2 linked regions of the Drosophila melanogaster genome follow. The gene in region 1 interacts genetically with each later gene. Each region holds a gene or a part of one and is shown on either strand. Other genes may lie near its edges.

The links.
Region 2: of RhoGAP92B (region 1) and Cip4, changing one suppresses a phenotype caused by changing the other (phenotypic suppression), as found in Drosophila melanogaster (one study listed by BioGRID).

What each region holds. Positions count from the first base shown.
Region 1 is NT_033777.3:19,902,706-19,908,256, forward strand, and holds the start of RhoGAP92B (Rho GTPase activating protein at 92B), read left to right. Parts: upstream 1-2,458; 5' UTR 2,459-2,605; coding exon 2,606-2,655; intron 2,656-2,743; exon of another isoform or gene 2,744-2,925; coding exon 2,926-3,182; intron 3,183-4,975; exon of another isoform or gene 4,976-5,386; intron 5,387-5,551. Other genes in the region: ClpX (caseinolytic protease chaperone subunit), read right to left, coding at 136-193; Surf6 (surfeit 6), read right to left, coding at 1,055-1,863, 1,918-2,083. UniProt on the Drosophila melanogaster protein: GTPase activator for the Rho-type GTPases by converting them to an inactive GDP-bound state.
Region 2 is NT_037436.4:4,360,760-4,366,071, reverse strand, and holds the start of Cip4 (Cdc42-interacting protein 4), read left to right. Parts: upstream 1-2,097; 5' UTR 2,098-2,209; coding exon 2,210-2,324; intron 2,325-2,944; coding exon 2,945-3,045; intron 3,046-5,312. Other genes in the region: CG33514 (uncharacterized protein), read right to left, coding at 1-212, 272-576; mRpS6 (mitochondrial ribosomal protein S6), read right to left, coding at 862-1,260, 1,327-1,371.

The DNA of each region.
Region 1 (5,551 bases):
CGTTGGGATTACGATGCAGATTGGTAAACTGCAGGCTGTTTTTTAGTTGCCATTGCCAGTTGTTGTCGATTCACGGCTAATGACGCAGTTACGTATGCGATTGGCAGCACAACAACAAGACGGCACAGCACTTACCCTTTGCCCACACACTGTATTTGGGGCCCAGCAGGATAATCCGCCGCACCATGCTCATGGTGGCTGCTGCCCGCCGCCTCTGTGCCTCTGTTCCGTCTACCGCTTCCTCCGCGCCCGCTGCAGTTGCTCCTGGACTCGGATTCCCCTGCGCCCCTGCTTTGCACCGATTTGCTACTCAGCTGGCGGCCGCTTCTTCTTCTTGCTCTGCTGATCTGCAAAGTTATTGTTGTGACTTCTGCTGGGGATGCCTCGCTTTGCAGGGATTGCTTTTCTATATCCACTTGTTGGTTATCCGTCGCTCGCCAAAGTGCGTCGCAATTTGGATGATTTTCCGCCTGCCTTGCTGTATTTTCGGTGGAAAATGGGGGGAATAGATTGCGCTCTGCACGTAATTTTTGTGGCTGTGTGCGTGCGTGTGATTCTCGTTGTTTTGGCTGCCCCACTCGCTCTGCTTCTTCTTGCCAAATCGGTCACTATACTGTATTAAAAGATCCACAAATTTCTAGGGTCTCCAGCATTATCTGATCCACTTTTTGTCTCTTGTAAGTACTCGGAAAATCTGGAAAAATCGCAGCAATCCAACTAAACGATTACGATATCAATCGATTGTTGTTATCGGTCTCAGCTGTTCGCCGTTCTTCTTCTTGCCAATCTTTGGTGAAGCCGCGCAACGCACAGTGGAACACAAAGTGACACAAAGTGGACAAAAACGAGGAGCCAAATAGTGTGGCTTGGAACTGGGAATTTAGCTGTCTACTGGAATTTTGACTGTGTCGAGGCCGGAAAAGTAAATTTCTAACACGAAAGTATAAAAACGTAAATTTCAGAAAGATCACTTTTTTTCTAAAGCATTCTGAGTTGAATTTCAACGTGGCATACATTTACACTACTTTACACTTAAGGGCTATAGTAAGCATAGTTAATAGCCGGGTATGATGCGACCCCTCTTGCTGGCCGTCTTTAGTTTCCGGTTCTTCTTGTCCTTGCTGCGCTTCTCCAGGTTCTCCTGTCGCTTCTTTTGCCTCTTTTCCTTGTCGTGCTCCACCTTCTGCTTGCGTTCAGTCCACTTGGTCTTGGACTTCTTCTTCTCCACGCGCCGCTTCTTGATGGCCTTTTGCAGCAGCTTGGTGTCGTCCTTGACCTTCTTGCCCTCGACCTTGTCGAATGCGTTGCGCCAGGCGATGTCCGTCTGGATCTCCGCCGCCTTGTCCGTTTCGCCCTGTTCGCGCAGTTCGGTTAGGTGCTTCTTGGTGTCGCGCAGCTTCTTCAGAATCTCCTTGGGGTTTTGGTGAGACTTCTTGGCTTTGCCTCCAGGATTGGCGGCAAAGTCCACCTTGGAGTAGACGATCTTGGCCTCCTGGTTGTAAACCGGTTGCACCTTGACCGGCTGGATCTGTTCCTTGCTGTCCTCCGTCTCCTGTTCTGATTTCACCACGCCATTCTTCAGTTTCTGGTGCTTGACGTTCTCGTTTTTGAGGTTTTTGGCCGAGGAGAGGAGCAGTTTCTGGACGCCCTTGCTGCGTTTAAGCTTTTTAGATTCGCGTCGCTTCTGCTGTCGCTCCGTTGTGGGTCCCTTTTTCTGGCGCAGCTTGTTCTTGATGGAGGCAATGCGTGCCTCTACATCCTCGTCGTCGGAGTCTTGGTTTTTCAGTTTTCCCTGTTGTTTCTTTTTCTTGTTTCCCGATTCCTCCGTGTCCGACAGCAGGTACTCTTCGTAGGTCTCCTCATCTGTAGGAAATACGATAAAGTTAAAGATTTAAGGCTTTTCATTAATGGTTTCACCTTCTTGTTTGGAGTAGGGCACTTTGTGAATGGTCAGCAGTTCCAAGACTCGCTGATAGAACTTTTTGGTGATGGCGGGCAGGTCCTCCTTCTCCGGCTTCTGATCCTTGTTGTGTTCGATTTCATACTCCTCCCGCAGACATTTCACGATCTCCGCCTGGGTCATTTTCGAGAGTAAAATAACAATAAAACTATTATTTACGCACGCACACGTGCAGCTAAGCAAGGCGGTCGAGTTCAGTGTGACCCCACAGAATTCGGGTGTTTTCGACAGTGGTTACCCTAGCGCAAATGTCTGGTACCGCTACAAGTAGTAAGGGGTATTCCCCTATTCAGCGAATTTAAGCAATGGTTTCAGATTAAAGGAGATTGAAATTTAATAAACATTAATTAACCATTGCTTAAATTCATAATTCTAGCCTAAGCTCTGAGAAATCTCAACAGGCATTTATCAAACAGTGTTACCAAATACGAACTTTCGAAAAAGGCGCTCTCCAGCCTTTTGTCATTTCCCAGCGCTCCCGCTGCGGTCACACCCGCCTCACTTTTCCGTAAAACATCGTTGAAGAATGACTAATTTGCCTGTTTTAAGTATTTACTCAATGCCCAGCTAATTGCACATCGCAAACAAACACACAGCAGTTCAGTTCAAGTTGGAGACGCGAGCGGCACCAGCGAATCAGCCAAGATGAAGAGGCAGTTTGCCAAAATCAAAATAGCAGCCGAAAATCTGTCAAGGTAAGTTCAAAGGCCAGCCAGTCTGTCGGTCGGATGTCTGTGGGTGTGTGTTTGTGTAAGTGCGCTCCAGGTGGACAGACAGGTGTGTGTTGCCTCATCACGAAAGAAGCAACAGCAGCAGCAGCAACAACAACAAAAGCAGCAGAGAAGCAGCCACAGAGCAACTGCATCAATAACAAAGCGCGATGACAGCCGTAACAATAGTGGACTGCCGATGATGACCTAACCCGTGCTAAACCCGTGTCAAAATGGTCCTTTTCGCATTCGCAGATCGAGCAAGTCGGACAGCAAGGACTCGGAGCTGGAGGCGATCGAGCGGCAGGTGGACAGATACCGGGACACCATCGAGAAGATCGTCCGCAAGCTGCCGGCGCTGAGCGGCGGAGGCGGAAGTGGAAGCGGGAGCAGCGAGGAGCAGGACAAGCGGACCAAGAAGAACAGTCACTACAAGATTGCCCAGGCTCTGGACGAGTCCGCCAAGGAGCTGCCCAAGGACATGCCGCTGCAGAAGGTCCTCGCCAATTGCGGTTAGTAATCGGGCAACCGGGATTTCCAGTGAGGCAGGCAGTTGCGTAGGCGGTCATTCGCCAGAGGGGGAAGTTACAGAATTTGTTCTTCATCAAGTGATTATATTGATATTGCTTTAGGTACCTAGCTTATCATAGTTTGTTAGCATGTTAGCTTAAACATCCATATGATGTTTCTTACAATCTGAAAATAGTTCCCAGCTGAGAGCCCCTCCTTGCAGCGGCAATCAGCCATGCCTACGGCCCTGGTGGGTGTCATGTTGTCGCTGCTGATAAGGCGCACAGTGGTTGTCGTTCGCTCCAAATCCGATAATCGCCGCCAGACATGCACAATGGCACACGAACACGAGTACGGGTTCGCAGGGGGCTTGGAGAACACACTACAGTGGATGACTGTGTCACGGGCTTCGGTTTGTCTGTGTGTATTGGCGGCCTCGCCTTGTCGCTTGGCCTTGTGGCATTTACATTTCTCAACTGCAAACGGCAACATCAACATCGACATCCACATCGACGGCGTTTTTTAATCATTATTATAATTTTTATTATGACTTTTTCGCCGCTTTCTTTCGCAGCCCGTTCGCCCGCAGTATTGGTATTGGTTATTATTTGCGGTTTCGGCATTGTCTATTTATACACCTTTTTGTTTTGCCAGCCAAGTTAGCCCGCCCCCATTGGCGCCCGTTTTTATTGCCCTGCTTCCATACAATTCACTGCCCGATTCACTATGCATTTCATTTAAATTTGTTACACATCGCGCGCGAAGTGGCATAACAAAGCCCGGTAAACGGCGATAATTATGCTAGCTGCTTGGCTAGCTGTGGCTAGTAAAAGTAAAAGTCTGGGCCAAATTCATACATCATCGTATCGTCATGATCTCTTCTTCGCTGTTCATTTATTATTATTTGGTGGGCGCTCCCCCTAGGTCGCATTACTCATTCCGAGTGTTATTTTTATTTGCCTGTATTATTTCCATTCGCTGTTTCCCCCTTTCAGGCACTCTGCATTCCACATATTCGCAGATGCGTGTGCGTCAATTGCAATTGCCAGTTCTGCCGCAGTTGCAGCGATTCAAGAGCATCTCGGTGGTTGTGTAACGGCCAGGGATCTGGAGAGCCCCCCCCCCCTTTTTTTTTTTAGTTCCCCACGTTCCTGATTAGACACGAACGCTTACACATGCAACTATCGCAGCCACAGTGAACGTGTGTCCGTGGGTTAAGTGGAAGCTCCATTCGAATGCTCGGGAAATCATAATTGGGTCAAGCTGCGGAAATCGATCGCCAAACGATGCAAACATTATTTTTGAAAGGGCTATAAAGCCTAGAGCATTGTCAGACTTTTCTATTCAAATGTTTGGCGAACTTTACGTCTGTTTATTTGCAAATGTTTCGGAAACCGAGCAATCGAAAGTACGTATTATAAAATCAAACTCGATTTCATTCGCTTATCTTCATTTTCTAATTTTAACTAAAAAATTCGAGAGACGCTTCAACTTTAACAGTAGACACCTCATTATAGTGAGATATGTCATTGTAATTTACATTTACAACTTAATTTCTTTGGTAAATAATATATCAATGTTTAATTGCGAGCATAGCAACTTAAATGTTAGGCAACAAGTTGTAGCTGCCAAGCTCCAGACCCACGAAAACACAAAATTACCGCACCGAAATTAGCTTTTTGTCGCCAGTGTTATGTCGGTAATTGCGGTGAGATATCATCGCACTTTAACCCACTGTGCGCCCTTTGCAACTCTTATTGTTAGCCACGATGCGCTTCAATTCAAGCCATTCAGCAAGGGGAGCTAGAAGCGAGCGTATCTCGAATGTAACACTCCAGTGCCGACGTCGTCTTCGCTTTGGACTCCGTCTCCGACACCCTCTTCCTCTGCAACTGCCTATGCTTTCTGTGGTGCGACCTTTTTGCCTCCACTATGCCTCCATGGCGGGTTCAGCTGCTGAGGCTTGAGTCTCGGGGCACTCAACACAATTATCACAATTTTGCTTACTCAGCTCGTCATCCTATTCGCCGGGCAATTCCCCCACGGATTGGCCCAATCTCGCCCCGCATCTAAGCGGAGCTACTCCAGCAACTGAAAACCAACCAGCACGCCAACATCTTCGCAGCTACCGCCAGGCGATAAGGTCTTAAATAAGCAGTGACTTCCTCACTTGCGGGTGGAATGGAATGTAATAGTTGGGAATGGCAAGAGGCTGCGTGATACACACAGCAAACTATTTCCATTTACTTTATGATTGATAAAGCTAGCAAATAATGATAGTAGTTTCTATTTCCTTTAGAAGTTAGATTCGCTTGTACTTGTCTTAGATTAGAGAGTTTTGGGGCAGCAAATTTAAAATTCGATATCCGAT
Region 2 (5,312 bases), on another chromosome or scaffold:
AGTGTGCGGCGGTGGCACCCTTCATGTCCATAATGAAAACTACTCCATTGACATTGGCGTAGTCGTCCTCCAAAATGGCAATCTCCTGCATTGCCTGGGCCACTTGCATGCACTCCAGCATTGTGTACTTCTCCACTGGCACCAATCCCATGCGCCAGATCCCGATGCGAGGTCCATTTTCATTCAGCGGAGTGGGCAGGTAGATGATGGCACTGAATTGACAGAATTGCATTGATAAATTAAATTAGTTAGCTGGCGTCAAAATCCTTACCCCGTTTGATGAATCTCCCGGAACTTGCTATCCGTGGTGTTGGTAACTCGGAAATAGTCCGGATACTTGGTCTTCAGCGTGTAGTACTTATCTAACTTGGACTTGGCCCGCTCCAAACTGTACTTGCAGCCGCGCAAGAAAGCCACCAGAAACTGATCATCCATTCGGGGATTTAGATGCGGCTGCTGCTCGATCCATGTCTTAAACGCCTGCAGATCGGCTTCGAGACGTTCGGGATCCTCCTTGAGCTGCTCCTTGGCAACTTTTTGCAGCTCTGGCGTAAGTGGACGGATTTGCGGTGACATTTCTAGGTCGTTTGCGGTCAGGAGGAAGTACTAGTGAACTGCTCGACGATTCTTGAGGCACTACCTGGACAATTTACGTTCTATTGATGGTCGATTATACGGAGCTTTATCAATTAATTGATAAGCGTCCGATTGGGCGCCATAAACCAAACAAAGACAAACATTGTGAAAAGTACTAAGATAACAGGCGCATTTCATAAGGAATGCTTCAGTTTGAATTAGCCAAAGATCGAGGAACCCACAACCGGTTTTAGCATACATAATTAACGCGTTTTATTTGGTGTTTTATTTTTGGAAGGGATAGTAGTCCAGGCCGGAGTTGTAGTTGAACTTCTTCTTTTGCTTCTTCTGGGCGGCCGCAATGATCTCCTGCACATCCTTGCGATACGCGGGTGGCAGCATCTCCTCGTGCAGCGTGCAGGGCTTCTGCTCGGGCTCCTCCACCTTGAAGATGTAGCGCCGTATGATGTCGATGTCGCGGCCAAACTCCTCCTTCAAGTCTGCGATCTTAGTGGGCGCCGTATCAAAGGCGATGGTGAAGTGGGTGCCTTCCCGGTGAACCACCCCGTGTTCGCTGACTTTGTGGGGCAGGGCGCGGGATCCCAGGTTCTCCAGCTTCCGGATAATGCCGCCCTTGTCCAGGATGGACTCGGCCGTTCGCCTAATCACGGAAATCAGTTCGGGCTGCGGGCGGTGTACAATTCTTATTTACTTTTATGTAACTGCCGGTGGATTTCATGTGCTACTCACGCGAGGCAATTGGCGGAGCACCAGTGCTAGTTCGTAAGAAGGCATTGTGACCGGTGAATTGTATGAGCTGGTAAGGAATTTAATTTCTTATATTAACGTTGTTTCTCTCAAGTTTTAATTCATTAAAAAGTTAGTAAATCTAATGTAATTGTTGACCCACCAGCTGATAGTGTTAACAGCTGATGCAAGGAAAGTACTAAAAATGATCTAGCGCCTGGCGCACATGCTTACACCTTACAGTGTGCCAAAATCTATTGCTCCAGTGAATTTAATGTTCAAATTAATATATTATATACAACAATAAGCGATGCTCTTGTTACTTTAAAAGCAATAAACAATAATAAGAAGTTTCTTCCAAGCTCAATAATAGCTTTCTTCATCTGTTTCAACGTTATGTTATTCCATAAAATTATTAGTTTTCAAGGCCACAATAATATATTTAAAAAGTCTACAATTAACGTTAAATTATAAAAAAAAATGGGGGCACGTATTAACGAAAGTTTCATATATTTTATATAATAATAATTAAACTTTACAGTTGCTCTCAATATGGGTTCATATCCCCGCTAGATGTTAAAGAGTTAGAAATTAGGTCGCCATCGGTCTCTGGTCACACTGCAAACGCAGAGGTGTGCCTATTCAAACACATTGCGGTCACACTGTGTATTGATGCCGAAGTGAAAAAACGAGCGGAAAGTTGCGAGCGGATAAAATTGTTTTTTCGCACGCCAAAAAGGAGAAACAAATGCTTGCGTTGTGTGAGTGCGGGTGTTTTAACTGTGTGCTTGTGTGTGTGTGCAAATGTCGCCCGAATTATGACGCATGCGAAAGTGCAGGCGCTAAATAAAACCCAAAATCGAAAGAAGTTGCAACTGCAAAGCAAATGCTAAAAAAAAAGTTAGCACAAATAACAAAAAAAAAAACGGTGGCAGATCTAGAAGCAGAGTGCGTGCATTCGGCAATTGCGTTTACTTGTGTGCGTGTGTGTGCGAAATTATGTAAATACAACAATAGTAGAATTCCAATTGTCCTCTCTTTCTGCTTTTCTCAATTATGAAATGCAGTTGCATCGCTCTCTATCTCTATCGCTCCCTCTCTCTCCTCACTCTCTTTGCGCATCGAAATGCCAGTGCATAGAATTTTCTTATTTTGCACTTATCACTAAACAACTCCCAAAAAAAGTGTTTAAATTCTCATTATCTATAATTTCCTTCAACTTCATTTTTCTACCTGCCGCTGCAACTGACACGTCTGCATTGCCACTCTTTTTTGTTTTTACATGCTTTCTTACCTGCCCAACCACCGAAAAAAAAAAAAACAAAAATGAAATATATCTGACTCGAATTGCTCTCTTTCATAGAAAATTAAACATCGCGCCGCGCAACGCTGAAAAAAATATAGAAAAACAAACGGAAAATGAAAACGAAAAAGCAGCCATAAAATTAATTAACCTTTGCGGGAAAATATAAAACAAAAACGAATAAAAGTTCTCATCTTTTGCTCTTCTCCCTCGCTTTCTACCTTTCTCCCTCTCTCCTCATCGTCTGTGGATTACATTATCTTCTGTGGATTATTATTATTAAAACAACAACAACAACGACGGCAACAACAAATACAGTGGCAAGCGGATCGAGCAGAAGCAGCAGCAACAACAAACTGGCCGAATCGGAAAACTCAGCGCAAAACTCCAACAACATGAGTTGGGGCACCGAGCTATGGGTGAGTTTTTCCTGGATTTAGAGGGGCTATATCTTCAGATAAGAAGTCGTATTTCATTGATAAAACAGGGGGTTCCTATAAGCAACAAATACATAGTTCTGCTTGTTTGAGGAGTATGAATGTATACCTATAGCTAAAAATCAAAACAAATTCGTAGTTTAGCTTGATCAGAATCATTAAGGTGTCCATTACCAGCTCAAAGAAGCTGGGGTCGGAAAAATCGAATTTTTGAAATTTGAAAGCTGGAATCGTTTGCCCATTTTTTGCCCATGTTTGCCCACCAATTAGTTTTTTTTGCCCACGTCCAGTTTTTGAGATATGAATTTTCGAAAAAGTTCGAAAATTTTCGAAAATCAAAAATTTCGCTTTTTTCAAATTTTTTTTTTTTAAATCGCAATAACATCGTTTGCCCACGTTTGCCCACCCTTTAGAATTTTGAAAAAATTTATACTTTAGAAAATATAAGGCTTTTAAGTTTACCTCGGTCTAATCAGAGAGTAAATCGTTTGCCCATCTCTTAAAACCAAATATTATCAACAAAAAACGTTTGCCCAACCATTATTATTAGTTTTTATCGTTTGCCCACCCTTTAAAAAACCTTTAACAAAAATTTTTTTTCGATTGCCCACACTTGAAATACAACTAATTTCGTTAGCCCACCTCTTCAAAATAAAACTTTTCAATAAAAAACGTTTTCCCACCATTTAAAAATAAATAATTTCGATTGCCCACCTTTTAAAACTAAATAATTTCGTTTGCCCATCCTTTAAAATTCATTTTTAACGTTTGCCCACCCTTTAAAATTTGTTTTTTTCGTTTGCCCACCTCTTAAAAATGGTTTTTTCGATTTTTCACCTATTAAAACTAAATTTGTACATATGTACATATGTAATAATTGTAAGATGTGGCGCCAAAAGCACAGTTACTTACAAAAGAACAGTTATTTACATATTTACATACATTTTCAATATATCCATAGTGTTAATCATTCATGAATTGTAACATCAATTTTTCTTAATCATTGTTTCATTTCATGGAAAATATTTTATATTGCAATATAATATATATGCAAAAAAATGTATGTATGTTTATCAACACTCTCCAAGCTCAAGAAAATTCTGGAATAAAATATTTTCCATGAAATGAAACAATGATTAAGAAAAATTGATGTTACAATTCATGAATGATTAACACTATGGATATATTGAAAATGTATGTAAATATGTAAATAACTGTTCTTTTGTAAGTAACTGTGCTTTTGGCGCCACATCTTACAATTATTACATATGTACATATGTACAAATTTAGTTTTAATAGGTGAAAAATCGAAAAAACCATTTTTAAGAGGTGGGCAAACGAAAAAAACAAATTTTAAAGGGTGGGCAAACGTTAAAAATGAATTTTAAAGGATGGGCAAACGAAATTATTTAGTTTTAAAAGGTGGGCAATCGAAATTATTTATTTTTAAATGGTGGGAAAACGTTTTTTATTGAAAAGTTTTATTTTGAAGAGGTGGGCTAACGAAATTAGTTGTATTTCAAGTGTGGGCAATCGAAAAAAAATTTTTGTTAAAGGTTTTTTAAAGGGTGGGCAAACGATAAAAACTAATAATAATGGTTGGGCAAACGTTTTTTGTTGATAATATTTGGTTTTAAGAGATGGGCAAACGATTTACTCTCTGATTAGACCGAGGTAAACTTAAAAGCCTTATATTTTCTAAAGTATAAATTTTTTCAAAATTCTAAAGGGTGGGCAAACGTGGGCAAACGATGTTATTGCGATTTAAAAAAAAAAAATTTGAAAAAAGCGAAATTTTTGATTTTCGAAAATTTTCGAACTTTTTCGAAAATTCATATCTCAAAAACTGGACGTGGGCAAAAAAAACTAATTGGTGGGCAAACATGGGCAAAAAATGGGCAAACGATTCCAGCTTTCAAATTTCAAAAATTCGATTTTTCCGACCCCAGCTTCTTTGAGCTTCCATTACCTCCTATATTCTTGGATATTAAAGAGGCGCTTATCTTCAGATAGGCTATATATATTGAAAGGCTCCAAACCTAAAATATAGATAGAAACGACAACATTGGTCTTATTAAGAAATTGTAAGCACTCATCAAAAATTACAAATTGCAAGCCACACAATTTTAATTAATTAAACATTTTTGTTTTGCCAAGCACTTGGTAAATGCAATTAAACTTCTCAAATATTTTACAACTACCAGAAAATAAGCTCGAAATTCCGGTTTTTTAAAACCAACTGACACATT